Macaca mulatta: one gene and its partners. The protein of the gene in region 6 interacts with the protein of the main gene of each other region in a pairwise test. Links are inferred from orthologs where the notes say so. Each region holds a gene or a part of one and is shown on either strand. Other genes may lie near its edges. The genes, in order: PRKAB2, PITX1, SMAP2, KPNA2, RBFOX2, MAGED1 and CA8.

What was found.
Region 1: the proteins of MAGED1 (region 6) and PRKAB2 interact in binary tests that used the Homo sapiens proteins (3 or more experiments, as listed by UniProt). The link is inferred for Macaca mulatta from reciprocal best matches to the Homo sapiens genes MAGED1 and PRKAB2.
Region 2: the proteins of MAGED1 (region 6) and PITX1 interact in binary tests that used the Homo sapiens proteins (3 or more experiments, as listed by UniProt). The link is inferred for Macaca mulatta from reciprocal best matches to the Homo sapiens genes MAGED1 and PITX1.
Region 3: the proteins of MAGED1 (region 6) and SMAP2 interact in binary tests that used the Homo sapiens proteins (3 or more experiments, as listed by UniProt). The two-hybrid records come from large-scale screens. The link is inferred for Macaca mulatta from reciprocal best matches to the Homo sapiens genes MAGED1 and SMAP2.
Region 4: the proteins of MAGED1 (region 6) and KPNA2 interact in binary tests that used the Homo sapiens proteins (3 or more experiments, as listed by UniProt). The two-hybrid records come from large-scale screens. The link is inferred for Macaca mulatta from reciprocal best matches to the Homo sapiens genes MAGED1 and KPNA2.
Region 5: the proteins of MAGED1 (region 6) and RBFOX2 interact in binary tests that used the Homo sapiens proteins (3 or more experiments, as listed by UniProt). The two-hybrid records come from large-scale screens. The link is inferred for Macaca mulatta from reciprocal best matches to the Homo sapiens genes MAGED1 and RBFOX2.
Region 7: the proteins of MAGED1 (region 6) and CA8 interact in binary tests that used the Homo sapiens proteins (3 or more experiments, as listed by UniProt). The two-hybrid records come from large-scale screens. The link is inferred for Macaca mulatta from reciprocal best matches to the Homo sapiens genes MAGED1 and CA8.

Annotation. Positions count from the first base shown.
Region 1 is NC_133406.1:118,946,392-118,950,599, forward strand, and holds the start of PRKAB2 (5'-AMP-activated protein kinase subunit beta-2), read left to right. Parts: upstream 1-1,408; 5' UTR 1,409-1,544; intron 1,545-2,712; exon of another isoform or gene 2,713-2,758; intron 2,759-3,018; 5' UTR 3,019-3,041; coding exon 3,042-3,197; intron 3,198-4,208. UniProt on the Homo sapiens protein: Non-catalytic subunit of AMP-activated protein kinase (AMPK), an energy sensor protein kinase that plays a key role in regulating cellular energy metabolism.
Region 2 is NC_133411.1:143,947,457-143,951,664, forward strand, and holds the start of PITX1 (pituitary homeobox 1), read right to left. Parts: upstream 2,801-4,208; 5' UTR 2,089-2,800; coding exon 2,055-2,088; intron 1,509-2,054; coding exon 1,272-1,508; intron 1-1,271. UniProt on the Homo sapiens protein: Sequence-specific transcription factor that binds gene promoters and activates their transcription. May play a role in the development of anterior structures, and in particular, the brain and facies and in specifying the identity or structure of hindlimb.
Region 3 is NC_133406.1:200,357,657-200,361,651, reverse strand, and holds the end of SMAP2 (stromal membrane-associated protein 2), read left to right. Parts: intron 1-2,162; coding exon 2,163-2,288; 3' UTR 2,289-3,495; downstream 3,496-3,995.
Region 4 is NC_133421.1:77,786,391-77,790,433, forward strand, and holds the start of KPNA2 (importin subunit alpha-1), read left to right. Parts: upstream 1-1,243; 5' UTR 1,244-1,347; intron 1,348-2,625; 5' UTR 2,626-2,648; coding exon 2,649-2,723; intron 2,724-2,872; coding exon 2,873-3,010; intron 3,011-4,043.
Region 5 is NC_133415.1:15,502,487-15,506,522, forward strand, and holds the start of RBFOX2 (RNA binding protein fox-1 homolog 2), read left to right. Parts: upstream 1-1,236; 5' UTR 1,237-1,248; coding exon 1,249-1,434; intron 1,435-4,036. UniProt on the Homo sapiens protein: RNA-binding protein that regulates alternative splicing events by binding to 5'-UGCAUGU-3' elements. Prevents binding of U2AF2 to the 3'-splice site.
Region 6 is NC_133426.1:51,816,909-51,820,408, forward strand, and holds the end of MAGED1 (melanoma-associated antigen D1), read left to right. Parts: intron 1-978; coding exon 979-1,093; intron 1,094-2,351; coding exon 2,352-2,729; 3' UTR 2,730-2,737; intron 2,738-2,943; 3' UTR 2,944-3,152; downstream 3,153-3,500. UniProt on the Homo sapiens protein: Involved in the apoptotic response after nerve growth factor (NGF) binding in neuronal cells. Inhibits cell cycle progression, and facilitates NGFR-mediated apoptosis. May act as a regulator of the function of DLX family members.
Region 7 is NC_133413.1:70,909,312-70,912,811, forward strand, and holds part of CA8 (carbonic anhydrase-related protein), read right to left. Parts: intron 1,176-3,500; coding exon 1,051-1,175; intron 1-1,050. UniProt on the Homo sapiens protein: Does not have a carbonic anhydrase catalytic activity.

The DNA of each region.
Region 1 (4,208 bases), on a different chromosome or scaffold from region 6:
ATCAGGACAACCCCCACCAATTACTTTTCCTATTAGCCCCTTCTTTTCCTTCCCTTTAGAAAGAAGAGCATTGGGGCCGGGCGCGGTGGCTCACGCCTGTAATCCCAGCACTTTGGGAGGCCGAGGCGGGCGGATCACAAGGTCAGGAGATCGAGACCACGGTGAAACCCCGTCTCTACTAAAAATACAAAAAATTAGCCGGGCGCGGTTGTGGGCGCCTGTAGTCCCAGCTACTCGGGAGGCTGAGGCAGGAGAATGGCGTGAACCCGGGAGGCGGAGCTTACAGTGAGCCGAGATCGCGCCACTGCACTCCAGCCTGGGCTGGGCGACAGAGGGAGACTCCGTCTCAAAAAAAAAAAAAAAAAAAGAAAGAAGAGCATTGGGGTGACAGCAATAAATCTAAAGGGAACAATTATACTGATACTGGTTAAGAAGATCTTGTATCTTTACCTACTTATTCCTGAATCTAAGAAAAAAAAAGGAATTTGGGACTAAGGAGAATTCATTCTTCCTACAGTGTCATATTACATTTGTTCTGTGTCTAAAACATGCAATATTCAAAATTGACTTTTATTATTAACTGTTGAGTAACTTACAAATGTTGTTAGAGCAGAGCAGGGCAGAACAGTGTCATGGATAATCTTCCAAAGGAGATAATACAAAAGTCATTTCCATTTAGCTGTGTAAAAACAGTTTATTTCTCTCCTTCAGTTTTCCATTGGCTAACATAGTTAGTTTGTTTCTGCTAAGCTGATTTCACTACTGCAAGGAAATACATACCAAGGACATATTATTTGGCATGGTGAAACCACCTTGGGGTCAGAAAACTGAATACTACACAAGTCAAGGTTTAATGTATCACACCTTGAAGGGCCTTGCTTCAGTGTCCTATGGTAAGGAATTGAGGGGTGGAGGGAGAAAGGTAGGGATAACCAAAAAGAATGTACTCAGACAGTAAAGATTTCAGAGGGGTGAGCAAGAAGTTGCAGTAAAATCGTACCTTTTTTTTTTCCTTCCTGTAAACTGTCTTCGGTTTATGAGCCAAAGAATGAGTTTATAAGGGGCAGAGCAAAGAATGGGGGAGTAGTGAATTTGTTGTACTTAAGTGGGCTGTCAACTTCATAATATAAAAATGAACTTTTCAACAAATAGAGCTGCTCACTCAGAAAGGGTGGCCTATGTAACTTGGGGTTCTCCATCATTGGCCGTGTTTAAGCCTAAGTGGCATATCTTGATAGAAATGGATTACAGTAAACAGTATTCCTGTATCCTTCATTCCGCAAATACAAAAGCCTGCTCTGTACAAGGTACATGCAGAATATGAAAAGGTATCAAATCTGGATCTGCTCTCTGCCAGCTGTCAAAGCATTGCTTCTCACACACGTTAATGTGATCTTGTTAAAATGCAGATTCTGAACCCTGGGGATGGGGCCTGATTCTACATTTCTAACAGGCTCCCAGGTGATGCCAACGCTGCTGGTCTGTGTAACACAGATAAACGTTTCTAGTAGAGAAGGCGACATGCAAATACTTCTAATACAAAGGTAAGTACCTTAGGGATTCCACTAATTTTCATAAAAAACCTGGATCCCTCCCAACCCTACGACTGTCTTTGCCTTTTTTATACCTTTAGGGTTCCTTCTGATGTTTTCGTTGTCGCCATCTTCCTTGAATTTTATTTCTTCTGAGGTTTCTCACTGCATATGCTGTTTCTTAGACTAGGAAAGCCTTTTCGTTATTCTCCTAAGACTAACATTTTACTAATTTGTCAAGGTCTAGCTCCTAAATACGCCATCTTGAATTTTCCCTGCGACCCCAGTCGGGCTGACAGCTCCTTCCTTGTCGCTCCCTATTGAGCAGGTTTTTCTTGTGGGGGGGGGGCGGGGAGGCGGAGGGACGGAGTGTCGCTCGGTCGCCAGGCTGGAGTGCAGTGGCGCGATCTCGGCTCACTGCAACCTCCACCTCCCGGGTTCAAGCTATTCTCCTGCCTCATCCTCCCCAGTAGCTGAGACTTCCGGCGCGCGCCACCACGCCCAGCTAATTTTTGTACTTTTAGTAGAGACCAGGTTTCAACTTGTTGGCCAGGATGGTCTTGATCTCCTGATCTCGTGATCCGCTCGCCTAGGCCTCCCAAAGTGCCGGGATTACAGGCGTGAGCCACCGCGCCCGGCCAGAACAGTTTTAACCTCCAGCAATGGCCATTGCTTCCTTCTGCCTGCAGTTGGAAGTCAGTTTCAGTTTTCTTATTCCCTGTAAGGAACCCCCCTCTCCCGTCGCCTAACACACAGATGCTGCCCAGAAAACGTGCTGGCGCACCTGAGGCGGGGTAGAAAGCCGCGTCGCTTCTCCCGGCACCGAGCGCCGGAGCCCAGGGAGGCGGCCTCCGAGTGTCCTGTGGGAACGTCCCTTCCGCCGGGTAGTCTCAGAGGCCCAGCGCTCCAATTATCCCGGGTGCAGTCTCCCCAGGCGGCACAAGCCCTGCCTGGCGCCCCCTCCTGGCGCTGGAGGCTGCGTGCGACTGCCCACCATCGAGGCGGCGGCGGCTAGAGAGGCCGGCGGGCCCGGGACGCCGAGGCTGCAGGCCGCAGGGAACGCGCACGGGGCCGACTCCGCGCCGCCGGCCTTGTAGCCATTTTAGGAGGAATCGCTGATCGCCAGCGAGGGGTGCGGCTTCAATTTCAATAACTTTATTGGTGGCCTGATCTGCAGAACAGTCATCACTTCAGTGGTCCCTGGAGGAGGGAGCGCATCGCCCGAGGTGACTGGCGTGGGGGCGCCCCTGGCAGTGAGCGCGGGGACGCGGGGGAGTCCCGATAGCGGGTTTCCTGACTAGGGGCAGCGAGGGCACCGGGGTATTTGCAGGCATTCCCGCAGGCCAGGAGGGAGAAGGCTCCGGGGCTTGGCCTCCCTGGGGCGGGGAAATCCCTTGCCCCGTCCCAAGGCGTATGGGCGGGGCCGGGGGGCGCCCCTGACGCGGCTACTGAGGTGTTCCCAGCCCGGTGTGGTTCTCCGCGGTAGGTGGTCCCCGACGAGCTGCAGCCATGGGAAACACCACCAGCGACCGGGTGTCCGGGGAGCGCCACGGTGCCAAGGCTGCACGCTCCGAGGGCGCAGGCGGTCATGCCCCGGGGAAGGAGCACAAGATCATGGTGGGCAGTACGGACGACCCCAGCGTGTTCAGCCTCCCCGACTCCAAGGTAAGCGTCCCACGCCCGCAGTTGGTGGCAGTACTGCAGCGGGTTGATTTCCGGGCTCCTCTTCCCTTTCTTGGTTCTTTTCTGCCGCGCCGAACCGGGCTATGGTTTTTTGAATTAAAAGGATTTTTCGGGGACAGAGGTGTTGGATGGTAATCCCTCTTGCAGTGCCGCCTCAAAATAGGATAAAGAGGCGGAGTTCTTGTTTTCCTGGTGTTCTGACTAATCTGTTGGCCACATTTTTAGGATGGGGACAATAGACATCCCCGATCCTTGGTTCTTCCTAACATGCACGAGTGGCTCTCCTCTATAGCGTTGCTGAATTTGTAGTTTGTTAGCCCTGGTGGACAACTTCAGAGGGTAGGTTGCACGAGTTGCTGACCATAGGTGGTAGTTTCTCACCTTTGCCCTGAGGTGGCTACATGAAATTCTTTTTCTGAAAATTTCTATGTATCAGTATCATTTTTGCCCTTCTAGCAGCTCTGCACTTGTGATCTTCTTCCCTTTTGGCACGGCTGTAAGCAGCAACTACTTGCTTATTGAATACTTTCCCCTAGTCTTGGGGATCAATTAAGGACATCATTTGGTTGACTGCTTAATTTTTGTCCCATACTTTATAGTTGTGGTGGCTGAGGCTGTGCCTCTTTCACGCCCCGCTGCTGCTCCGCAGGTGGAAGAGCCAATGATTCCACGACTTGTTTACTCTCCAGTAGTACTTCAAAATGTTGCGTGGCTAAAAAGCGACAATCCATAGCTGCCTTGAAGACCTTGCTCTCAATTCCAAGGACTTTCAGGAAGAGCCAACTTGTTTTTTCACTCTGTAAGAAAGGACAGATGGAGCTGATAGCAGCGATTACCATTCTAATGTTTCTAATCGCTTTTAGAGCTGTCAGCATGAAATACATGTAGTTTCTCCAGGTAGACTGACTGGATGAGATAGAAAAATGGAGGGCTTGAGGAGATTGGGGTGTGTTTGATGTTTCCTATCATTTCGTCACTTCCCAGGGAACTGGG
Region 2 (4,208 bases), on a different chromosome or scaffold from region 6:
TTAGATAATTTAAATTCCCCAAATAACACCACTGTAAATGGATTTTGAGAAAATTCCGGAGAAACGCGCCATTTTGGATTGACTTTTTAAAATCTCCGGAAGAATAATGTTGCATGTAGATATTTTAAATTCCAGAGACCTACACTTAGTATATTAATTATTTCAAAATCGAAAGATAAAGTTAAAATTGTTAATTCATCCTCATAGATTTGGTTCAAAAAATCAATCTATGATTATATATCTCTCTAGGTTTTAAAAATAAAACCAACCAAAGACCGCACTTAAAACTTTTGAAAACAAAAGTATAGTTCAGCGTTGATTGTGTTTTAACCAAGCAAACAGAACCTCTCAGAAAAATCACTTAGGGATGCAAAAGAGAAACAAACAGATTAAGAAAGTGTAAAGAAACACTCAGCTGTGTATTAAGAAATGAACAGAAGAAACGAGCAGAAGAGGCGCCCATGCCGGGGAGCTCTGAGCCCCTCGGGGACCCAGGCGGCTGTGCTGGGCAGCGGATTCGCTACCCTACTGCCCGCGCCGGCCACCCCCGGGCCCAGTTCGCTGCTGGAAAAAAGCTCCAGCTCGTACAAAAAGGCAGCGCGGAGGGAGACGCGCCGGAGCCGGGGCGGGGGCCAGGGCCGGGCAGCTCCGGGCTTCGGCTGCACACGTGGGCCGGATCCCTCGATCGGGGTTCGGGCTGGCCTTGCTGGGAGTCCGGCCGCGCCTCTTGGCCCGCTCGCCCTCACCGTCTTCTGTGTCTTCCTTCTACTTGATGACCCCCTCTCCCCGTTTACCCTTCCCGCCCGCCCCTTCTCTTTGGCCTCTCTCTTTCATTCTGTCGCCTACTGTCACGGTGTTAGCCTCTCTCTCTGTCTCTCTGAGGGCGTTCTCTCGCCCGTCACCCCCATTCCTTTCTCGGTCTGCTCCTCTCCCTTCGTCCGAGTCGCTTCTTAGTGCCCAGTTGCGCAAATCCAATTTTCCCCCGTTCTATTTACTCCTGATCAAGAGGGGCTGTCAGTCCAACCCTCTAGCTGTAGGCTCATGCATCTGCCAGTCTGTTGGCGCGTGGGGACCGCGTGGAAGTGCCTTCGCGTATGCGTTAAGTTTCCGCGTTCACCATCAGGTCGAGAACGGGAAAAAGAAAGCTCCTGACGCTTCTGGGGCGGAGAGGGAGCTTGGTTGCACGGCGCGGGCGTCAGGCCCTGCTCCCAGCTCCCCGTGCCCCGCGCCCAAGTAGGCTCCGTGCGCGCCGCGAGGGGAACGGCGCTTACCTGGCAGCTCGGTGTCAGACGACTCGCTGGCGGAGTTCTCGAGCTGCTCGCGGTGGTCGGCGGGCCGGGCCAGGTGGAAGGCGGGCCCCATGTCATGGGGTGGCGGCGGCGGCGGCCGGAGCCCCTCCGGTAGCCGCTCCAGGCTCATGCCCCCCTTGAAGGCGTCCATGGAGGTGGGGACCGCGGCGGGCGCTCCAGGGGCCGGGGCTGGGCGCGCCCCGCCGCCCTGGCTGCGACCTGCGGGGACAAGAGCGCAGCGCCTAAGCAGCTGCCCTCCAGGGCTGCCGGCGCCCGCAGCGACGCCGTACCCGCCCCATGGACCGCCCGGGGCTGCGGGGCCGGGCGGGCAGAGGCGGCGGCAGCTTCTCGCGACCGGGCGCCTGGCTTAGCGCTCTGTGCTGCGCTTCTGCCGCTCGGGCCTCAGCAGCCGGGCCGGCCCCGGCTCCGGCTCCGACTCGCGATCCGGGGCCGGTTTCTAAGGCTCCGGACGGCGCCGGCAGAGTCTGTCTTAAAGCGACAGCGCGCACAGCCAGGTTCCAGCAGTCCCTGCGCCAGGGGTGCTGGGTGGGGTGGGCCTGGGTGGGAGGGGGCTGGGGAGGGAGCGAGCGAGCGAGGGAGCGCGGGCGGAATCCAGCCCCAAGCCGCCCGCGCCGCCGCGCCCTCTCTGCCGCCCTCCCTCCCTCCCTGCCTCGCCCGCGCCCTCCCCCTCCGCAGCCACCTTCCCGCCGCCTCCCCGCCCCCCGCGGCCTCGCCGCGCCTCTCCCTCCTTCCCCGGTGACACACCGAGTTCTCCCTCGGCCTCACAAAAGAAACGCATCTGGGCTGCAAGTCCCGGGCGGCTCGTGCCCACCTCAGGCCCCAAATGACTTGTTTCGCCTAGAATCAACTCCCGTCTCGGCCGCCTCGAAGTCCCCAGCGCTGGCGAGAACAGCCCAGGATGAGTGAATGTTTGCCGAGCAGGATCGCACGGAGCGGGCGCCTTCGAGCCAGCGCCGGGGCGGGGGCAGAGCCCGGGGCCCGTTCCGGCAGCTCCCAGCGGTGTCCTCGTCGAGGGGCCGCCTGCCCCTCCTTCTCCAGCCTCTTCTCCCGGGAACTCAGCCCGGCTGAGTGACAGCAGCCTGCGCTCTAATGGGCCCCCGGATGCTGCCTCCTAATTAGCTTGGACCTTCTCCCCTAAGGCTGCTTCTCAGGCCTCCCTCTCTGCACCGCAGTCAATTTTCCGGGATTGGGATAGAAATGATGGCTTCTAATCAGACGAAACGTTTCTGCTGGCTCTAGGCGTTTGGAGAATGCAGAGGGAAGACCCCAGAATCCCAGCCAGGCCCCACAGCCTCTTCTACCTCTCCCCTTGTTTTACACCTTACACTTTGGCCAAATGGGCCAGGCCTGGCCTTGGCAGGCATGGGGTTGGCCTTGGCAGCCTTTGCCCTCCTTCAGGGTAGCTTTGTCCCAGCCTGGGGCCTGCATCCTGGCTTCCCAGGGCTTCAGGCACAGGCCTGGTAGGCCAGGTGACTGCTGTCTCCCAACCCTGGGCCAGCAGCCCAGGAAGCCCTCAGTCTTCCAGCTTCTCTCCCACACAGTGGTAGCTGAGTTGCAGCTCCAATGGGCCTTCACTGGGCACAGGCAAAGACATTACTCTCCCACTCCCAAGAGTGATTCCCTCCTCAAGTCCTTGCACGTAGGTGAAGTTTGTCGAAGGATTTTGCTCAACAATTGTTACCTGGCCCCAAGACCTCAGCGTCTTGAGCAAACAGGCCACAGCTGGGGCGGCAAGGCGCCGCCCTGACCTGCTTCTCTGGCCATAGGCGGACCCCAGACTGCCCTCTGCCCCTCACCTGTGACCAGCTCCACCAGACACAGCAACCCAAGGGAGCAGCGCCAGGGAGATTGTCGGTCTGGGAAAGAAGCAGGGAGGTGTCCAGTGTCCTCACCCCAAAACCCAGTGCCTCCTCAACTCCTGGGTGGGTGGCACTGACTGCGCAGGTGTCGGCGTCTGGGGCACTCTGCAGGTTCTGCCTTTGAGTCCTCGCCTTACCCCTTCGCATCACAGGGAGACACCCACGGTCAGCTGAGCTCCTTGTGAGGGCGGCTGGGGCCAGGGGCAGGCACACAGGCTGGAACCAGACCTGCCTTCCATTCCCTCCATGTTAGTCCAAAGCACCCCTGCCCCCATCCCCCACTCTGGGCCATGGAGAGACAGCACAGCTCCTTAGGGCCTGGCCCTTTCTCACTGTGCGTCTGTGACCATAGAATGCAGGGTCTGAGGCCAGAGGGATGACACTTCCCAGGAGTTTGGGTTGGGGAGGCTCAGTGACTTCTGCCTTCTTCCAAGCTGAGATCTCCCTCCATGAAATGAGTCTTGGTCATGGGCAGAGGAACATGGGGAAGCACAGTTGCCCAGCATTTGCCCTCAGCCCCACCTTTACCACGTTTCTTGGAGTCTCCAGTAGAAGATCCCTCCTTTCAAGGAGATATTCAGGTGCTGCAGCATGCTGGGGAGTGTCCCTTCACACACCATTCTCCTTTTAGCTGTCTTATCCCATAGAACAGCCTGAGTGCAGACAGCATGGGGGCACGCGCGCACACGCACATCCTATACATCCATGCGGAGATGCTGTGCACACACATGTACTCACTGCACTATGGAAGCGCTGAGTTTAGGCATATGTGTGCTACTTGGCATGAACGCCGGCTGGCATGGGATAGGAGGTGTGTTCTAACCCCGCCACATGTCAGGCCAAGGTGGGAAGCACCGTGCGTCTCTGGGCAGAGACTTAGAAATGAATGATCTGTCTGTGGGCATCCAGAGGAGGTTGGGACTCATAGCCCCCTCACTTCCCAGAGGGACCAAAGTGACTCTTTGGGCCATCCCCCAGTGGGAACTGTTTTGTGAGCAGCACTCACTGCTTAGTCTGAGGGGCTGTATCCTCACTGTTA
Region 3 (3,995 bases), on a different chromosome or scaffold from region 6:
GACAGGCAAAGTAATACCAGAGAAGTGGTATGGTGCATGTGTACTGCACATGTGCATGTATATGCTATCTTTATCAGGGTTATACTTATTTATAAAAAGTATTTTTATGTTTTTGTTTCTCTGTGGTCTGGAATAATTTACGTAGTACTGGTCTTTGAAGGTTTTGTGGAATTCCTGTGTGAAGTTTGTGGTCCCTATTGCTTTCCTTTGTAGCAAATCTTTGATACATTTCTCTGTTTCTTCTATGGAAGTCAATTTTGGAAAACTGTATTTACCTAGATTTTCCATTTCACCGAGGTTTTCAAATTTATCAAAAGTTACGCCAAGCAGTCTCATTAATTTTTTTCAGAGAACCAGGATTTTGATTTATTGGTGCTACATTTTTCTGTTTTCTACCTCAATTTTTGGTGTATCTTTCCATATGCTTTCTATGGGTTTACTTTGTTATTTTCTAGTTTTTGTAGTGGAGATTTTAATTCACATATTTTCATTGTTTCGTTTTTATTTACATAAGTAATGGAATGCTGTAAGTCTGATGGGAATATGTCAGAGAGACACATGAGCCAACTTCCAATGGCTCTGACTGGCCAAATGTGAGACACTTTGAACATCAAAAAGAGTAACAATAGTAATGGATTATGACACACTGAATGGAAAAAAAAAAAAAAAAAACAACCCATGAGTCCATGGTGATATTTTTTAAAAACCAGGTGTGGAATGGAAGGAGAAAAAGCTTTCTTTACAGAAGAATGATAGTAATTGTAAAAAGAACAAAGGATTCCCACATTTGCAAAGAAATGCCCTTCAGATTATTTATTAATTATAATGAAAGAAATATAGCCACTACCTTAGCCAAGTGATCAAACATCAAATTACTGGCAATGGAACAAAGTAATACCATGTGCTTCCTGATATTTTGTACTAAGAAAGACATCGTATCTCCTCCATAGAATCTTGCCAAAAATATTTAACCTGGATCCAATTATGAGAAGATGAATCCAAATTGTGGGATATGCTACAAAATAACTGTCCTGGGTTCTTAAAAATGTCAGTGTCAGGAAGAAATGGGAGGAAGTGGTAGGGAAACTGTTCTAGATTAAAGGAAACTACAGAGATCTGGAAATGAAATGCCATGTACATTAGAATATTGTGTTAATGTTAAAATTCTGGAGTGTGTTCATGGTTTTGTGGTTCTGTTAAAGTGTTCATTCTTATGAAGTGTCTCCTGACTTAGGAGTGAAGTGTCGCGATAGCTGCAGTTTTTTTTTTTTTTTTTTAATCTGCGGCTTTTGATGCTCATCAAAAAAATGTAAGTTTTTATATAAGGAGGGAGAGAAAATATGGCAAATGTTAACAGTTGGTGAATTTAAGGAAGAAGATATATGGGTTTTATTGTACTATTCTTTCAACTTTTATGTAAGTTTGAAATTTACTTTAAAAGTTGGTAAAGAAAAAGAATTTATATAGAAAATGTACTAGGCTCAGGAAATTCAAGGCATTTTTCTCCATAAAGTATTTTTCTGCTCACTGCTAGGGGGCCAGTCTTTCCATCAAATTCATGAAGGACCCCCGCCCTATCCTGCCCGAGGCCTTATTCCACTGACTTTTCTTCCAGCTCCTTCCCTTCTCATACACCGAAGACACATTAGTCTTTTTTACCCCCTGCCTTCGTTCATTGCGAACAGTCCTGTTCCTTTTTTCCCCCTTCTGCAAATGAAAGAGGCTGCTCAAGCGCTTTCCCTGACACTGACAGTAATAGCTGTACTGAAGATGAGGCGGGAGCACTGGGGAGGGGGCTTGCCTTTCAGCTTTTAGGATTGGCCAGGCAAGTTAACAATAGGCCCCTTTTATTTACGATGAGGAACTGGAAAGGAAAAAGAGAGGAACTCATGCTGATTTTCTGTCAACTAGATCCAGATGCCAGGATGCCTTCTTTCCCTCCCTGAGCTCTAGTCTCTGTCAACATTGCACTCCCAAACAGTCGTTCATGTACATGGCCTTCAAATGATCTGACTGCGAAGGTCCAGGGTTTACTGTCCATAACAGTTTCCCTTTGTCTCATTCTCCCCATCCTGGCAGAGAAAGGGACTCCCACTCTGCCTTTTGCACTAATTGGCAGAATGCCCACGGCCTGGTCTGAAAGTCTCCTCTCTCCCTTTCAGATGACCCAGCAGATGGCTGGGATGAACTTCTATGGAGCCAATGGCATGATGAACTATGGACAGTCAATGAGCGGCGGAAGTGGACAGGCAGCAAATCAGACTCTCAGTCCTCAGATGTGGAAATAAAAACAAAACACCTGTATGGCTGCCATTCTCTTCAGCCCTCGCTCTCCCCTTTCCACAGCCTCCACCCCTGACCCCCATCCTCTTTTCCTACCTCTCTGTTTGGTTTAGAAATTGCTCAATAAGTCATTTGGGGTTTGGCATCCTGCCCAGCCACTTCCCAAACATGAAGACCTCTCTGTTGCTTTATGTTGTACATGCCCCGTAGCCATCCCAACGTCCTCCCCAGTCCTCTCCTGGCACCAGCACCTTAGAGGTTGTTGGCAGAAGGCACTTAAACTGTGGGAGAAACGTGCACACCTTTGAGTACCTTCCCTCAAGGTTAAAGCTCCTGTCAGACTCTCAGAAGGGTCTGTAGGTGTTGTATATTAGGCAAACGGGAAAGCTTAGAGGTCCTTCTATATATGTTAATAAGCTGTTTCTAAGTGTTTAAATTTGAAGGGGAAGCATCATGTTCTCATGATTTATGGGAATGAAGCAAGTACTGAAATCAAACTAAATACTCCCTGGGCCCTGGGTCAGTTTGACCCTAGCCCCGGGGTGAGGCAAGCCCCCTCCTATGAGGATGAGCAAAAATTCTACTCTCTTCACCCTGAGTTGCTTTCCGGATCTGGGGCTTCAGGACTTGCTGCTTCAGTCAGCCTTTATTAGCACCAAAGACTTTATGAAGATCCCACACACAGACACACATCCCTTCCTGCCTCCCACCTGCCTTCAGTAGGATCTGGCTCCGTGGCTGGAGGACAAACCCCTAGAGTGGGAATGCAGAGCTTAACGTGTACTGCTTGTGTGTGCACGTGAGAGTGTGTGTGTGTGTGTGTGTGTATGTGTGTTCCGCCTCCCATCCTCTCCCCATCTGCTCTGGGTATTTTTGTTTTTGTTTAGTTTTAGGTTTACAACAGAGAGGAGTTAATTTATCAGCAGCCTAAAACTGTTGTGTTTTTCTTACAGTTTAAAAAATGCCATGTCATTGATAACTCCCTTTCTCCCCTCCCTTCTCCCAGTCTGCTGATGACTCTTTCATGCCTGTGTATCCGGGTGCTCTGTCTCCCCACTGTTCCCAGGTGTACGAGGCAGAGGCCGGGACAGCTTTCCTCTCAGTCATTGTTCACCCCACTTGAAAATTCAGACAAGAAAACTTTGCTTAAAAGATTTCATGTGTGGGAACTACAGTTCCTGGCTGCCTTTCTCCTGTGTATGTGTAAATTCCTTAATAAATATTGCAGGGAAGGACTGTTTGCTTGGCCATTACTGTGCGTCACTCTTGGAGGAGGGTGCGTTACACTCAGGTTTTCTGTTTTCCAAAGGCAATTCTTTCACTTACTGTATTTTGGAAAATTCTGTACTTCTCATACCCAAGGGCGAGGCCCAGGCTCCAGCAGTCAGAAAGGGGGCCTCTCTCCACTGGCGTCTAGAGCTGTGAACTGAGGGAACTCCGAAGATCGGCACCTGCTAGAGTCAGAACATCAGAGTGGCATGCCTTTCCCCCACAGATGGAGAAACTGAGACACGGAGAAAGGACATGGTTGGCTGATGTCCACTAGGGAACCCTGGGCAGAGCCGGCAGTAGCCTCGCAAGTGTTTGGATTTCCAGCCCCTTGTTCTTTCCCTATGCCATGGCAATTAAGTAGTGAGTTGAAATTCCTCTCTGCCGAGAGAGCAGTAGCTTTAGCTGGTAAAGGTAACTCACCCCTCTCTGAGCTATCGGAA
Region 4 (4,043 bases), on a different chromosome or scaffold from region 6:
TATGAACTCTGGCTGCTATACAATGAATGAGGCTGGCATTAATGACTGCAAGAATGGACAAATTTGGTGTTTGAATTTATTTATAGTAAGAAATAAACCATGACAACTTTTCTAAAATGTAATCTTTTAGAACACAAAAAAATTGCAGAAACAAAAATGGCCCATAATCCTGATGCTCTGTTGACCATCTTTGTTTTGTTTCTTCGTTTGAGCATATGGCAAAAAATGCAAAATTCAGAAATGTGTAACGAGCATAGAATGTTACTGGAACAATTGACAAAACTTGAACACAGACTACATACTAAACAACAGCATGAAATTTCAGTTTTTCTGAATTTGACGACTGCAGTGTGGTTATGTAAGAGAATGTCTTTTCTTAGGAGATACACCGTGAAACAGAGGAAAAAGGACATGATTCTGAAACTCTCAAATGTTTCAAAAAGTAACATATTGAAATCACACATAGGTACACATGTGCATAGGTATACATATATATGTATAGAGACAGCAGTAGCAAATGTGTTAACATTTGGCAAATCTGGATAAGGATTTGCAATTCTGCTGCATTTGAAATTATTTAAAAATACAAAACTTGAGTGTTTGGAGAAACAGGAATAAGAAATATTTTGTTACTATATTTGCGGCTTCTATACAGTCTTTTACGACGCAATTGAAAAAAAAAACTAAACTAAAAAATATAACATAAATCTTCCCTCCCATAGTGGCCAGAAACCCCTGCCAAGTTCTTCGGATATCGTAACAGGAAAAAAATGCAAAGCAATATGTCTTTCTATAAAGATTACTTATTTACTAATTATCATTTTTTAATTTTCATGAAGATCAACAACAAAGTTTTTTTAAAATAATGACTTTGAGAATCATTTTGCGGTATTTGTTTAAGGCTCTCGCCCAGGAAAACGCCCAGGGACCATGCGCGCTTCAACCCAGTGGAAACACGAAAGGCCCAGGGACCGCCCCTTCGCGTTGCTTGACGGGATCTGGAGTCCTCCCGCTCCGCCCTGCCAGGCGCTCGGGAACCGCCCGTCTGCTCCCTCATCTCGCGATGCCATCCTCCTTTTTTTTTTTTTTTCCCCCCTCCCACTCGCCCCTAAGCCCTATGACTCCCTCCCCTCTCAACGTGTTTTTCAAATCCACCAATGGGCACACAGCTTGGGCTCGAACCAGCCAATCGGAATGCGGAGTCACCGGGAAATTTAAATCGCGCCGGCCGGCTGCACGAGCCACACGGTCTTTGAGCTGAGTCGAGGTGGACCCTTTGAGCGCAGCCGTCCCACAGCCGCTGATTCCCCGCATCGCCTCCCGTGGAAGCCCGGGCCCGCTTCTCAGGTACAGACTCAGGCGGCGGCTCGGCCCGAGCGCTAACGGTTTGCCCGCGGGCGGCGTTCGCCTTTGGGTGGGGGGAAGGAGGCCCCGGGTCCACGCCGAGCCTGGCTCAGCCTCCCGCGTTGTCTAGGCCTCGGGGGCGACTGGTTCATTGACCAGGCGGCTGAGTTTCGCGGGGTCTGCGGGTTTAGGGCGCCGACGCTCTTCAAACGGCAGCGGAGACCATAACGCGTCGCGGCCGGGAGAATCGGAGCGAGCCAGGCCTGAGGGCGAATGTCCCGGGAGGGCTCGTGGCGGCCCTGGCCTCGCTTCCCCCTTTCTTGTTGCATCTTCCCCGACGTAGGGGCAGGGGCAGGGGCTGGGGGTGGCAGTTGGGAGCACTGTCTCTGACACTTTGGCCCCGGGGTGGCTGTGCCACCAAGTCGTAGGCGAGCGTAATGAAAGCAAAGATAGCAAATTGTAAGGAGGGCTTTGACTTTTGTCGTCTTCTGAATGACGCACAGCTGATGTCGTCCTAATTAAGTGCATTCGCTCCTAGTCTCTGGAAATGCAAATCAAATATGCGACATGCGGCACTGCATTTTTAATGTTGACCATAATGTAATGATGAAGCAAATTTTTTTTAGTTTTCGAATCTGCACCTATTTTGGCCAAGTAAAGACAGTAAAGTAGTGCGAGCCTCCTGAGAATCTGAATTTATTGCCCTGGCACATAATTTTTAGCTGTAAGTTAACTTGGTTCCCCTGCTTTGCCTTGGATTAACTATTAGGGACTCTGGAGTATCGAGCCAGGCTGTCAGAAACGGTGGACACACGTGGCTAGTCCAAATTGAAATACGCTGTAAGCTTAAAGTACACAAAAGACTTCAAAGATAGAGTATGGAAAAAGAATGTAAAAGATGTCAGTTATTTTATATATTGAAATATATATGTTGAAATACTATTTGGATATGTTGGGTTAAGTAAAATAAATTATTGAAATTAGTTTCACTTGTTTCTTTTCGCCTTTTAAAAAGTATGGCTACTAGGAAGTTTCAATTTATATAGCTTGCATTCTATTTCTGATGGACAGCCCTCTCCAGGAAGTCTCAGCGCTTCAGAGGGAAGGGGGACAGTTCCCGTTTGGGTAAAGCTATTTCATAGTGCTGAAAGCATGATGATCCCCCCTCTAGTATACAGGTGTGGATTCAGTAGATGCTTGATAATTCAATTCTTATTTGGTACTATTATTGACAAAGGAAAATGATAAAGGAAATATTTTTTCTCCTCGCCCATCTTTTAGCTTTCTCCCTTTGTCTCATAACCATGTCCACCAATGAGAATGCTAATACACCAGCTGCCCGTCTTCACAGATTCAAGAACAAGGGAAAAGACAGTACAGTGAGTACCTTCTGTTGCTTTCCTGTGGTGGTGTTTAAATGGGAGGACATTTGGAAAGGGGTGAAAACTTAGGGATCTTTTTAAAAATACCCTCACTTAGCAACAAAAACTGATGTGATAGGTGAAACGGCATGTTATCTTTTCTCAAGGAAATGAGGCGTCGCAGAATAGAGGTCAATGTGGAGCTGAGGAAAGCTAAGAAGGATGACCAGATGCTGAAGAGGAGAAACGTAAGCTCATTTCCTGATGATGCTACTTCTCCGCTGCAGGAAAACCGCAACAACCAGGTAAAAAATGTATTTTGGTTTATGAGTTACGTGAAATCCAGAAAATCAGTAGGAACTTTTCTTAGAAATTCAAGTAAACTTAACATTTTTAGCCTTAGGTTGTAACTATCTGTGAAGATCTTTTTCTCTGTTCCCAATTAGTAATTGTCTTCTTTCCTGCCTTCCATAATCCACTGAAGCTGATTTAGGATCTTCCTTTAGCTCTGACCTTCCTTCAGACTTCCCTGCATTTCTAGCTGCTAACTGGGTACCTTGACCTGACCACTGTGTCCAGAGCCAACCAGTTTCTGGTTTATTCTTTTTTTTTTTTTTTTCCCTAGACGGGGTCTTGCTTTGTTGCTCAGGCTGGAGTGCAGTGGCACAATCTTGGCTCACAGCAACCTCTGCCTCCTGGGTTCAAGCAATTCTCCTGCCACAGCCTCCTGAGTAGCTGGGATTACGGGCACGCACCACCATGCTTGACTAGTTTTTGTATTTTTGTTTTGTTTTGTTTTTTTGAGTTTCCCTCTGTCGCCCAGGCTGGAGTACAGTGGTGTGATCTCAGCTCACTGCAAGCTCTACCTCCCAGGTTCACGCCATTCTCTTGCCTCAGCCTCCCAAGTAGCTGGGACTACAGGCACCTACCACCCTGCCCAGCTAATTTTTTTCTATTTTTAGTAGAGACGGGGTTTCATCATGTTAGCCAGGAAGGTCTCTGATCTCCTGACCTCGTGATCCACCCGCCTCGGCCTCCCAAAGTGCTGGGATCACAGGTGTGAGCCACTGCCCGGTCTGTTTTTGTATTTTTAGTAGAGGCAGAATTTCACCATGTTGGCCATGCTAGTCTTGAACTCCTGACCTCGTGATATGCCTGCCTTGGCCTCCCAAAGTGCTGGGATTACAGGCGTGAGCCACCAGGCCCTGCCCGTTTTTGGTTTATTTCTGCCTTTTTTGGTATTCTCTCTTTTTTTGTATTTGTCACCAGCTTTGTTCAGGACTTTCCTTCTGAAATATTTACGGTAGCCTCCTAAGTTATCATTTCCTCCTTTCTGTG
Region 5 (4,036 bases), on a different chromosome or scaffold from region 6:
TCTGGATCTGCCACTTTTTTGCTGCAGGATTTAACTAAGGTTCAGTTTCATCATCAATGAAATGGAGATCATGGTATCTACCTATATTACCAGTTTGAAATGGGTCTGTGGATGCATTGTGCAAACCCTAAAACTCTTACAAACATCGGATATTAGTACTAACTTCATTAGGAATGTGAGTTATGTCAGAGTAAAAGCTCTCAGAGCTGGGGTGAACTACAGACGGGTGGCTTCATTCCTCGACCTTCCAATTCGAGATCTTTTTCCTTCTGCGGGAGGGGAAGCAGGCAAATAGCCTGCCTCTCACAGAGTGCCCATTCCCTCCCCGGGAACCAAGGTGCTCAGGCGGGTAAACTCAGGACACAACACTGTACAACTAGTACCACAGGCAGGAGCCACTCCCTGGCCCTCGGGTCTCTCAAGCCCCGCCTGCTCCAAGCTACGGCCCCGCCCCAAAAGGAGACTGACCCCGCCCCCTCTGCGCTGGCCGGCACTCCTGCCGCGCGGAGCCTCCAGGACAGTCCCAGGCCCGTGCCGGAGATTCCCGAGCTTCCCCGATCGCTTCCCAGCCTCCCTCGGGCAGCTAGCGAGGAGGCGACGGAGATTGCCGAGAAGGGCTGGCCCCGCCCCTCCGCAGGCCGCCACCGCCCCCCTAGCCATAGCCTCCCGCGCGGGCTGGAGTCCTACATCCCGGTCCCTCCCTCCCTCTTTCTCTCTCCCCGCCTTCCCGGTGCTGCCACAGTGGCGGGTCGGAGGATCCCGGCCAGTCAGCTCGTTCCTGCCTCGCGCCCCTCCTCCCCCCAAATAAACAGCCCTCCCTACGCCTTGGGAGCCCGGACCGCCCCCTTCCTCCCTCGGCCGGCGTGTTGTGAGGGAGAGTGTGAGCCAGCGCGGCCGGCGGGCGAGCTCCGGGAGTGCGAGAGGCGGGGCAGCGCGGCGGGCCGGGCCGGGTGTCGCGTGTGCGTGCGGGGGTGCGAGCGAGTGCCCGTCGCGACCCGCCAGTGGCCCCGCGCCGACAACCCGGCGGGCGGGCGGGCGAGCGAGCGAGCGAGCGGCCAGGCGAGGAGCTCCGGGCGCGAGCCGCGGAGGGGCGCGGAGTCCGCGCGCTCGCGCGCACGCACGCACGCACGCACGCGGGGGGCGGGGGCAGGCGCGCGCCCGCCTGTCGCGACAGTCGGGGCCGAGGCCCAGGGGGAGGTGGCCTGTCGCGGGTCGCCCGGCTCCCGGAGGCGAGGGGGGCGCGGGCGGATGGCGGAGGGCGCCCAGCCGCAGCAGCCGCCTCAGCTCGGGCCCGGCGCCGCTGCCCGGGGCATGAAGCGGGAGTCGGAGCTGGAGCTGCCGGTGCCCGGAGCGGGAGGAGACGGAGCCGATCCCGGCCTGAGCAAGCGGCCGCGCACTGAGGAGGCGGCGGCCGACGGTGGCGGCGGGATGCAGGTGACCGCGCGGGACGGGGCGCCCAGTTATTGCGGGGGAGAGGGGGAGTGGCGTGAGGGGCGACCCCGGGCTCCCCGGCTTGGAAAGAGGGAGGGCCTCCGGGGGTCCTGGGTTGGAGGTGGGATGGGGGGACCAGTCGGGGCCTGGTTGGAAGGTGGGACGAGCTCGGGCTAGGAACGAAGGTTGCAGGACTGATCCTGGTGTGCCTGAGAGGGTCCTGATTCCTGAGGGGCGAGGAGGCACGACGAGTGGATAGGTTTTGGGGGGAAATCGAACGTGGTTGAGATGGATTCCATTTCTTCAAATCCTTCCTTAGTGCCCTGGGGTGGAGTGGAAGCCGGGAAATCCTGGGTTCTCTGGACGGAGTCGAGGAAGAGGGGATCTCGTGGGAAACCTCCCAAGAAGAGGGAGTACCTTTTGGCAGCCCTGGGCACCCGCTGGGATGGGGAAGAGAAGTGGCGTTTCAAGGAGAGGAGTGAAAAGCAAGAAAACTCCGAGAGAGAGCCCCGAGGGGATGTGGCTGAGATTGTGGGTTAAAACACACAGAGTGTGTGAGAAGTACAGGGAGTTTGGTAATGTTGTGGGGACACGGTGGTGCTCAGTCTCATTAACTTTGTGGAGCATACTAATGAGTCTGAAGGGAGACACCAGACATGTCCCTCCTGTTCTTTGCCAATTGCATTCTACATCTCCAGGACACAAAATAGCTCTTTAATGTCCTGGGCTATTAAAAAAAAAATTTTATAGGGCTATTATAAGACTGGATTCTCAATTCTGGATTCAAAGATAAAAGTGGTTAATTTGGGTAGGGAATGGGAAAGGTATTGATGATGTCAGTTGACTTCATAGTTTTGAGGAAGACCTTGAAACCTTTGTAGGTTTTAGGGTTTGGTCTCTGCCCAGAAAATACTGCTATGAAATGGTGAGTCTCACCTATCAGCAATTGTGCAGACATGTGCCTAGTTCTCTCAGAGTCATAGGATGTTAGAGGGATGAGGAAGACTAGACATCTTTTCCAGGGGTTCTTAACCTGGACAGACTAGGAAGATTCTTACTTATAAAAGGTGATGTGCACTTTTTGGTGGCAGAGAGTCAATAATTTTCATCTTTGTTTTTTTTGGAGGGGATTTGAGTCCCAGCTTGTTTTAACCACCTTATTTTATAGATGGGGAATCAGAAGTCCAGAGAAGATGAGTGACTTGGGTAAGGCCACCCAGTTAGCTGATAGTAAAACTAGAACCAGAAGCCTGGTCTTCTAATTCCTATTCCTGTGCTGTCTCCATTACACCACTCTTGGAAATCTCTGCAGTGCTAAAAGACTTCCTGTGCTCTGCTCCCTGCTTTTCAAGCCTCTGCCTGACTTCCTGTGTTAGGGACGGAGCTGTACTTAAGCCTAGCGTATTTGTTGTGTGCTTCTTGGTCTCCTTTGCAGAGTTTACCCTGTTACTTGTGTTGATTTAGGTAAAGTGACCCTCTTGGTGTTTATTTTTGAATTCTTTTGTTTTGTTTGCCTGCTTTTATTTTCCATTAGAACTCTGTCAGGTAGAGGGATTGTGAGAAGTAAAAGCTCAGGGCCATGGAAAAAAAGACAGGAATATGGGAGACTGCAGGTGAGGTGAGCTAATATTGGATGGTAAGGAGGGAAGACTGGATATAGGTGCTGGTGAGCAGGTTCTACTTTGTGTGTGTGTGTGTGTGTGTGTGTGTGTATGTCTGTATGTATTCATTTATCATTTCTGTCAATCATAGTTAATAGTGAGACCCCCATCCCTTTCCCTCATTTACTCCTGGGGCCTGTTATCTGCTGGTTGCCTTCAAATTGGCTAAAGATAGTGATATTCGGAAATGGAGCAATATGTAGGGACTTCACAGGGCTGTGCAGAGGAAAGAGTGGTTAGGTCCTTGGGGGTAGCTGAGAACTATCCCTCTGAGAATCCTTTTTTCACTCTGTGTATTTGTGGGTGTTCTTTGTTTATTTTCTTTCTATACATTTTTTTTTTTTTTTTTTTTTTTGCCCAGGTTGGAGTGCAATGGCACGATCTCGGCTCACTGCAACCTCCACCTCCACCTCTGGGTTCAGGCGATTCTCCTGCCTCTGCTTTCTGAGTAGATGGGATTACAGGCATGTGCCACCATGCCCAGCTAATTTTTCGTATTTTTAGTAGAGGGGGGTTTTCACCAGGTTGGCCAGGCTGTTCTCGAACTCCTGACCTCAGGTGGTCCACCCACCTCAGCCTCCCAAAATGTTGGGATTACAGGCGTGAGCCACCACACCCAGCCTTCTGTGCATTCTCGTTGTTGTAGGTCCATTCCCCTATGTCATACAGGTATTCAGATCATCACTGATTTAGGTCCTGCCTTCAACTAGCTGAGTGCCTGCAGAAATCTTTCATTTTGGGGCCTCTGTTTTCCTTAGCTATAAAATAAAGTATGTGTACAAGATGATTTCCCTCGTGATCTGCCCGCCTCGGCCTCCCAAAGTGCTGGGATTACAGGTGTGAGCCACCACGCCCGGCCGGTTTCTAAGTTACCTTCTAAAAGATATAAGTCCAGTTCACTGTGCTTAAGGTGCATGCAATCTATGTGGGGAAACAAATGGGTG
Region 6 (3,500 bases):
GATCTTGGCTCACTGCAGCCTCTGCCTCCTGGGTTCAAGCGATTCTCCTGCTTCAGCCTCCTGAGTAGCTGGGATTACAGGCATGCACCACCACGCCCAGCTAATTTTGTCTTCTTAGTAGAGATGGAGTTTCTGCATGTTAGACCGGTCTCGAACTCCCGACCTCAGGTGATGCTCCTGCCTCGGCCTCCAAAAGTGCTGGGATTAAGGCGTGGGCCACCGTACCCGGCGAATTCTTTTGTTTGCTTTTTTCGAGACTGAGTCTCACTCTATTGCCCATGCTGGAGTGCAGTGGCGCAATCTTGGCTCGCTTGAACTTCCACCTCCTAGGTTCAAGCAATTCTTGTGCCTCAGCCTCCTGAGTAACTGGGACTTCAGGTGCCTGCCACCATGCCCGGCTATTTTTGTATTTTTAGTAGAGATGGGACTTCACCATGTTGGCCAGGCTGGTCTCAAACTCCTGACCTCAAGCAATTCACCCATCTCTGCCTCCCAAAGTGCTGGGATTACAGGTGTGAGCCACCATGTCCAGCCAGAATTCTTCTAATTTTTCTACTTTTCTAAGTAGTTGTCTTGCAAGTGAAGCCCATCCACCATCCCCACAGTAGACATTCCCAAGGCTGGGCCAGGCTGACACTTTTGCACTACATTGTAATCATTTCAATGGACCTCTGTGGCTCACTGACAAGATTACAAAAATCTGGAGCTAGAGCTGAGGCAGAAGGAGTGAAATGAAATGTTGTCCTTTCTGTGACCCTATACAAGCGTCGCCTGCAGCTCTAAGTGAGTGCTTAGTGTTCTGGTGCAGGAATTCAAGGCTTGATGATTAAGGGGTAAATACCCTGATGGTGTTCAGGAATGAGCCCGAGGGGGAGTTGCTATTTGAAATCTGATGTTAAAAAATGTAGGATTATTTTTCATTACTGGACTACCATTCTGCCCGGGTAGGTAGACACAAAGACTGTTTTGCTCTTTCAGATACCTGGACTACAGACGAGTGCCCAACAGCAACCCCCCAGAGTATGAGTTCCTCTGGGGCCTCCGTTCCTACCATGAGACTAGCAAGATGAAAGTGCTGAGATTCATTGCAGAGGTAATGTGCCAACCAGCATTGATAGGTCAAGGGATGAAGTATCGCTGGCTGGGAAAGGTCCAGGGTAGGAATGAGATCCTAGGTATGGCACGTGGTAGGTGCTGCATTGCTGGTGGTATTTGTTGTTGTTGTTAGGTAAACTTAACATGCATTAGGTGCTAACATATGTTAATATATTAGCTAATACAATTATGAGTTTGTTTTGGTTTTTTTTTTTTTAGGTTTTTAAAGTATTTTTATTTTTTCCCAACTTTACTAAAGTATAATTGACAAAAATTGTATATATTTATGGTGTACAATGTAATTTTTAAGTATTTTGTTTTGTTTTATTTATTTATTTTCTCCTGAGATGGAGTTTTGCTGTGTTGCCCAGGCTAGAGTGCAGTGGCGCGATTTTGGCTCACTGAAACCTCTGCCTCCCGGGTTCAAGCGATTCTTGTGCCTCAGCCTCCCAAGTATCTGGGATTACAGGCACGTGCCACCACCATGCCTGGCTAAATTTTTATTTTTCTATTAGAGACAGGGTTTCGCCATGTTAGCCAGGCTGGTCTCGATCTCCTGACCTCAAGTGATCTGCCTGCCTCAGCCTCCCGAAGTGTTGGGATTACAGGCGTGAACCACTGTACCCAGCACATTCATTTATTTTTAATTGACTAATAAAAAGTATATATATTTATGGGGCACAGTATGATGTTTTGATAATACATGTCATGTACATTGCGGAATGATTACATCAAGCTAGTTAACTCTCCGTAGCTTCATATACTTGACATTTTTTTTTTGTGATGAGAACATTTAAAATGTACTCTTTTAGCAATTTTAAATAAACAACATATTATTATTAACTATAGTCATCATGCTATATGGTCAATCTCCAGAACATACTCTTCCTATCTAACTGAAATTTTGTACCTTTTAACCAATATTTCCCCATCCCTCCTGACCCCAGGCCCTGGAAACTATCATTCTACTCTCTGTTTCTATGAGTTAGACCTTTTTAGATTCCATGTATAAGTGAAGTCATGCAGTATTTGTCTTTCTGTGTCTGACTTACTTCACTTAGCATAATGTCATCCAGCATCATCCATGTTGTTGCAAATGGCAGAATTTCCTTCTTTTTAAAGGCTGAATAGTATTCCACTGTGTGTGTGTGTATCACATTTTCCTTATCCATTCATCCATTGATGGACACGTAGGTTGATTCCGTATCTTGGCTATTGTAAATAGATTTTGTTTTGTTTTCTATTCCTCATCTCAGGTTCAGAAAAGAGACCCTCGTGACTGGACTGCACAGTTCATGGAGGCTGCAGATGAGGCCTTGGATGCTCTGGATGCTGCTGCAGCTGAGGCCGAAGCCCGGGCTGAAGCAAGAACCCGCATGGGAATTGGAGATGAGGCTGTGTCTGGGCCCTGGAGCTGGGATGATATTGAGTTTGAGCTGCTGACCTGGGATGAGGAAGGAGATTTTGGAGATCCCTGGTCCAGAATTCCATTTACCTTCTGGGCCAGATACCATCAGAACGCCCGCTCCAGATTTCCTCAGACCTTTGCTGGTCCCATTATTGGTCCTGGTGGTACAGCCGGTGCCAACTTTGCTGCCAACTTTGGTGCCATTGGTTTCTTCTGGGTTGAGTGAGATGTTGGGTAGGTACATCACTTTGGATTGGGCAGTTAGGGTCTCTGGGGGATATAGGGTCCATGGGATTGTATTTATGTGCATGAGCTAGGAGTCTTAGGAAACTCATTGTAGGGAGGTGAGGAAAGTATGGGGCAGCACTCTTTGGTGTGTATATTCCTTATTATTTGACATATATCATTGATTTTTTTACTTTTTTTTCTTATGTTCACAGATATTGCTATCAATCGCAATAGTCTTTCCCCTGTGTGAGGCTGAAGCCTCAGATTCCTTCTAAACACAGCTATCTAGAGAGCCACATCGTGTTGACTGAAAGTGGCATGCAAGATAAATTTATTTGCTGTTCCTTGTCTACTGCTTTTTTTCCCCTTGTGTGCTGTCAAGTTTTGGTATCAGAAATAAACATTGAAATTGCAAAGTGAATTAGATGTGCTCTCTGCTTCTTTTTTTCCCTATATTTGGGGAGCGAGCAACATGTTTATGTGGGAGAGACAGGACCTCGGCTCTAGTTTGAAGGGGGTAGATCAGCTTTCAGCAGGTGGAAATATGGGAAGATCCAGCTACTGGATTGGGATACAAAGGCAGTATCAATGAACACGAGACCCAAGAACTTGTATAGTTTATTCAATAAATATCACTTAAGTGATTCTCATGTGACAGATATGCTGCTAGGTGTCCTGGAGTGACATTGCGAGAATTGCATAGTGAGAGAGGGTATAGGTGCTCAGACAGTTGCACTTAAGAACACAGCGGAGGTGGAACTCCAGGTGA
Region 7 (3,500 bases), on a different chromosome or scaffold from region 6:
GTATCACTGACGTAAAATTATACAGCCATGATTTCCAGCCTCTGAAGTGGTACTGGATATCGTATCCGGTCATGAGCAATTTTATATTTAATATTAAGCACATACACAGTTGGGAATGTCAGAGAAAAGACTGGAAGACCAGTGGCCCCCAAAACATACTCTTACATGACACTAAAGGGCTATTTTCTGGGGTAAACTGAGGTTCCTTCTAGAAATATCATCAAGACCTGACTGAATCCAACATGCCCTCACTTTCACCAGTGTGGACTGTCTGTCTCCACTGTGCCTGGCAGTGGGCAAATGATGGGAGTAAAAGTGGGGTGAGAGGGAGCTCCGTTCCTCAGGAGCTCACAGGCAGCGAGAAAGACGCTATGAAGACTAAATGGTACAACCCATGGGGCCAGCGCCGTGGCAGTGCCCTATCAAGCATATAGGGAGCACAGAGAGACAGAGGAATTCTGCCTAGAGAAGAAACTAGAGAAAAGTCCCACAGAAGACATAAGATTTCAACTGGCTATCAAAGAAAGAGCAGGAGTTAACTAAGAATGTAAGTCGGGGAAGAATGCTTTGGACAAAAGAATCACTCTCGAAAAATCTCTCTTTCTCCCTCCCTCCCCCAGTGGCTTGGGGTGAATAAAAGCAACCCACCAATTTTAAACTAGCTAACCTAGACTTTTCATTACTGTTGCAGTTTCTCCAATGGTTGTTTGTCTTCAGCTCGTCACCCATTCATAGCATCCATAAAAGTGACCTACTGAATTTGCAGAGGCAGAATTTTTACAAGAATAGTAACACTAGGGTCAAATTTAATACTGTAGATTGCCTTTCTGGCCATATGCTCATGGCACATGCCAAGCCACAAGAGTAGATGGGAAGGAAGCTTCATGTGCTGCCCTAGGCTTCTATTGCATTAAGCATTTTTAAAATTTTAGTATAAACTGATAAAATGCAAGAGCTATGCATCTACTTTTAAACTAAATCATTTTCAGTAAATCGCTGAATACTGTATTCAGAAAACAAGATTTTTACAAGATGATTTGTTACTCTTACCTCCATGGGAAAAGCTTTGAAATTAACCGTGTGCTCAGAACCACGCTGGTTTTCTCTTCCCCAGTGAAATCTCACTTCATACAGTTCAAATTCATGCCCTTGAGGCAATGGTCCTCCCGAAAGAACTGAAAAAGAAAATATATGTTACTGAATTACATCACACATTTACCTCAGCATTATAAACATTAGAGACTTTTTTTTTTCACCAAAATGCTCTCATGGGTTCTACAGATTAAATTCACAAAGTCAAAATGAGAAATTTACCACAACTGTGAGGTGAATTTAAACTATCTAGGCTTGGCTGAAATTCTTGTCCTGGCCATTCAGACATAGTAGAAGTTCAAAACCTCTGAAAAACTCATAATGATATGTATATTTTAATTTCCTATGTGTTTTCAGTCTAGAAGTAGACAAGGAAAACAAATTCCTCTCTTAGAGATTTAAGCTTAGCACTGATCAAGAGACAAAAAATATGGTTTAACTCTCAGACTGACCAATAATATTCTGTAGATGTCTAAATAAATTAAACTACATTTGCAGATCATCCACTTGTACTAGGAGGCTTCCAATTTAGAGAATTGTGGTGTGGACTAACAAAACTATCCATGAAGAGGATTGATTAGCATTAAGTCAATCAATAATGAAATTGCACTTCAATAGCTGATGGACATTCATTACCACAAATGACACAAAATAAAACTGCAATAAAATATTAACAATACTCAAAATATTAACATCAGTCCCACAAGATCATGTCTTTTTCTCATTGTTGGATATGATCAAGACCTTTGTCCCCAACAAGGGCACACTAAAGGATAATGAAAAATACATTTGCATGAGAACCTGTCTCAAAACAATAAAATTCTTTAGTTAAAAATTCCCTGACAGCATACATACAAACTTGAAATAAAGTTTCCTACAAACAAATGGTCAATTTCAATACAAATAAAAGTTGTTTAACTCAGGGCATTTTTCCTCTAGCAATTCCCAATTCTGAATAGTATCAGCTAAGAATTTTAGGTTATTTAGCTAACAAAATTCAACACCTTCCCTTTCCTAGAAGTAGACTTTTTGAAACAGATCATCCTTCACATTTGGGTTGCCTTTGAGGAGGACATAACAGATTCCACACCTCTTTTGAGGAAGAGTTCTGTCATTCATCCTTATCCTAAAACTCAAAGAAGAAAGCAAATTGGTGCAACAATATTTACTTGTTTGGTTGGTTCTTCATCTAAAGACTTGTTCCAAAAAGGATTTAAGGCTGCTTATGTCAAGGTACATACAATACAGTCAGACAGCATAAATTTGGAAAAAGAACAAGGGGAAGCAAAGAAAGAGGCTGAAAATAGATGGAGAAATGAGGCTATCAGACACAATGGAGGTCATGGAGTCCTTGATAAAGGTACCCCACAAATCTGCTCCCAAGCTTTCTAACAGCTCAAACAACAAAGACAAGCAACATCCAGAGCAAGAACTAACTTTAATTTTTTGAGTGGATACACTTCACATCAAGGGGAAGGGAAGTGAGATTCATGGCCTTTAGGATCACAGTGTCATGCATGATTTTAGATTTTAGTGTTTGTCCTCATGCTTGGTCTGACACGTCACACAACAAATCCAAGGGGATAGTGTTATCATCAACCCCACAGACAGGGCAGAAAAGTGGGATGAGAGGGGCTAAGTGTGACCTGCCACAGTCAGCCTCCTAGCAGGCCCCAGGACAGGACCTGGAGCTCGAATCTTCTGACCTACATTCCAGGGGTGAGGCAGGGATAGGGAAACCCAAATGTCAGTATCTGTGAGCATGAACTAAAAAATAATGACTTATCTAAGCCTAGATTTATAAACTGAAGTTGCTCCTTGGAGAACTGCACTTTATCCTATTTCCCAGAATAATCTAAAAACTTGTAATACATGGATCAGAAAGGTTTGTAGATACTCAGAACCACAGTGCAAGCTCACTTCACCTTCCTCTCCAATAAACATCCATTCTGTGGATTTAAGAATGTATGAAATGTTTTCTAAATAACCTCACAACTCATGCTTTTCTCTTGGCTGTCCAAATTTGGTCTTAAGAAAAACCAGGACTGAGACTAGGAGTCTACCCACTGTGTACCCCACCTCCCACACCAAAAAGGAAAAAGAGAACGAGAAAATACACCCCTCGCCACCCCCAGCAACAGTGGGGCCCAAGGCCTCAGCGGGTGAGCTCTATAACACCACTTCTAAAACAAAGCGATAAAACTGTCCTAGAAAAGGCTCAGCTCCACATGGCTAAGGAAGAAGAAAGAGGAGCGTCATGAAATGAAGCACATGTGACATGGGAAAGACAATTTTTAAAACTCCTTCCCCAAAACCCCTTTATCACATACACTCAGAACACACACACACACACATACACACACACACACACACAAAGGCACATGGTATTTCTAAAACTGTTCTGTTAC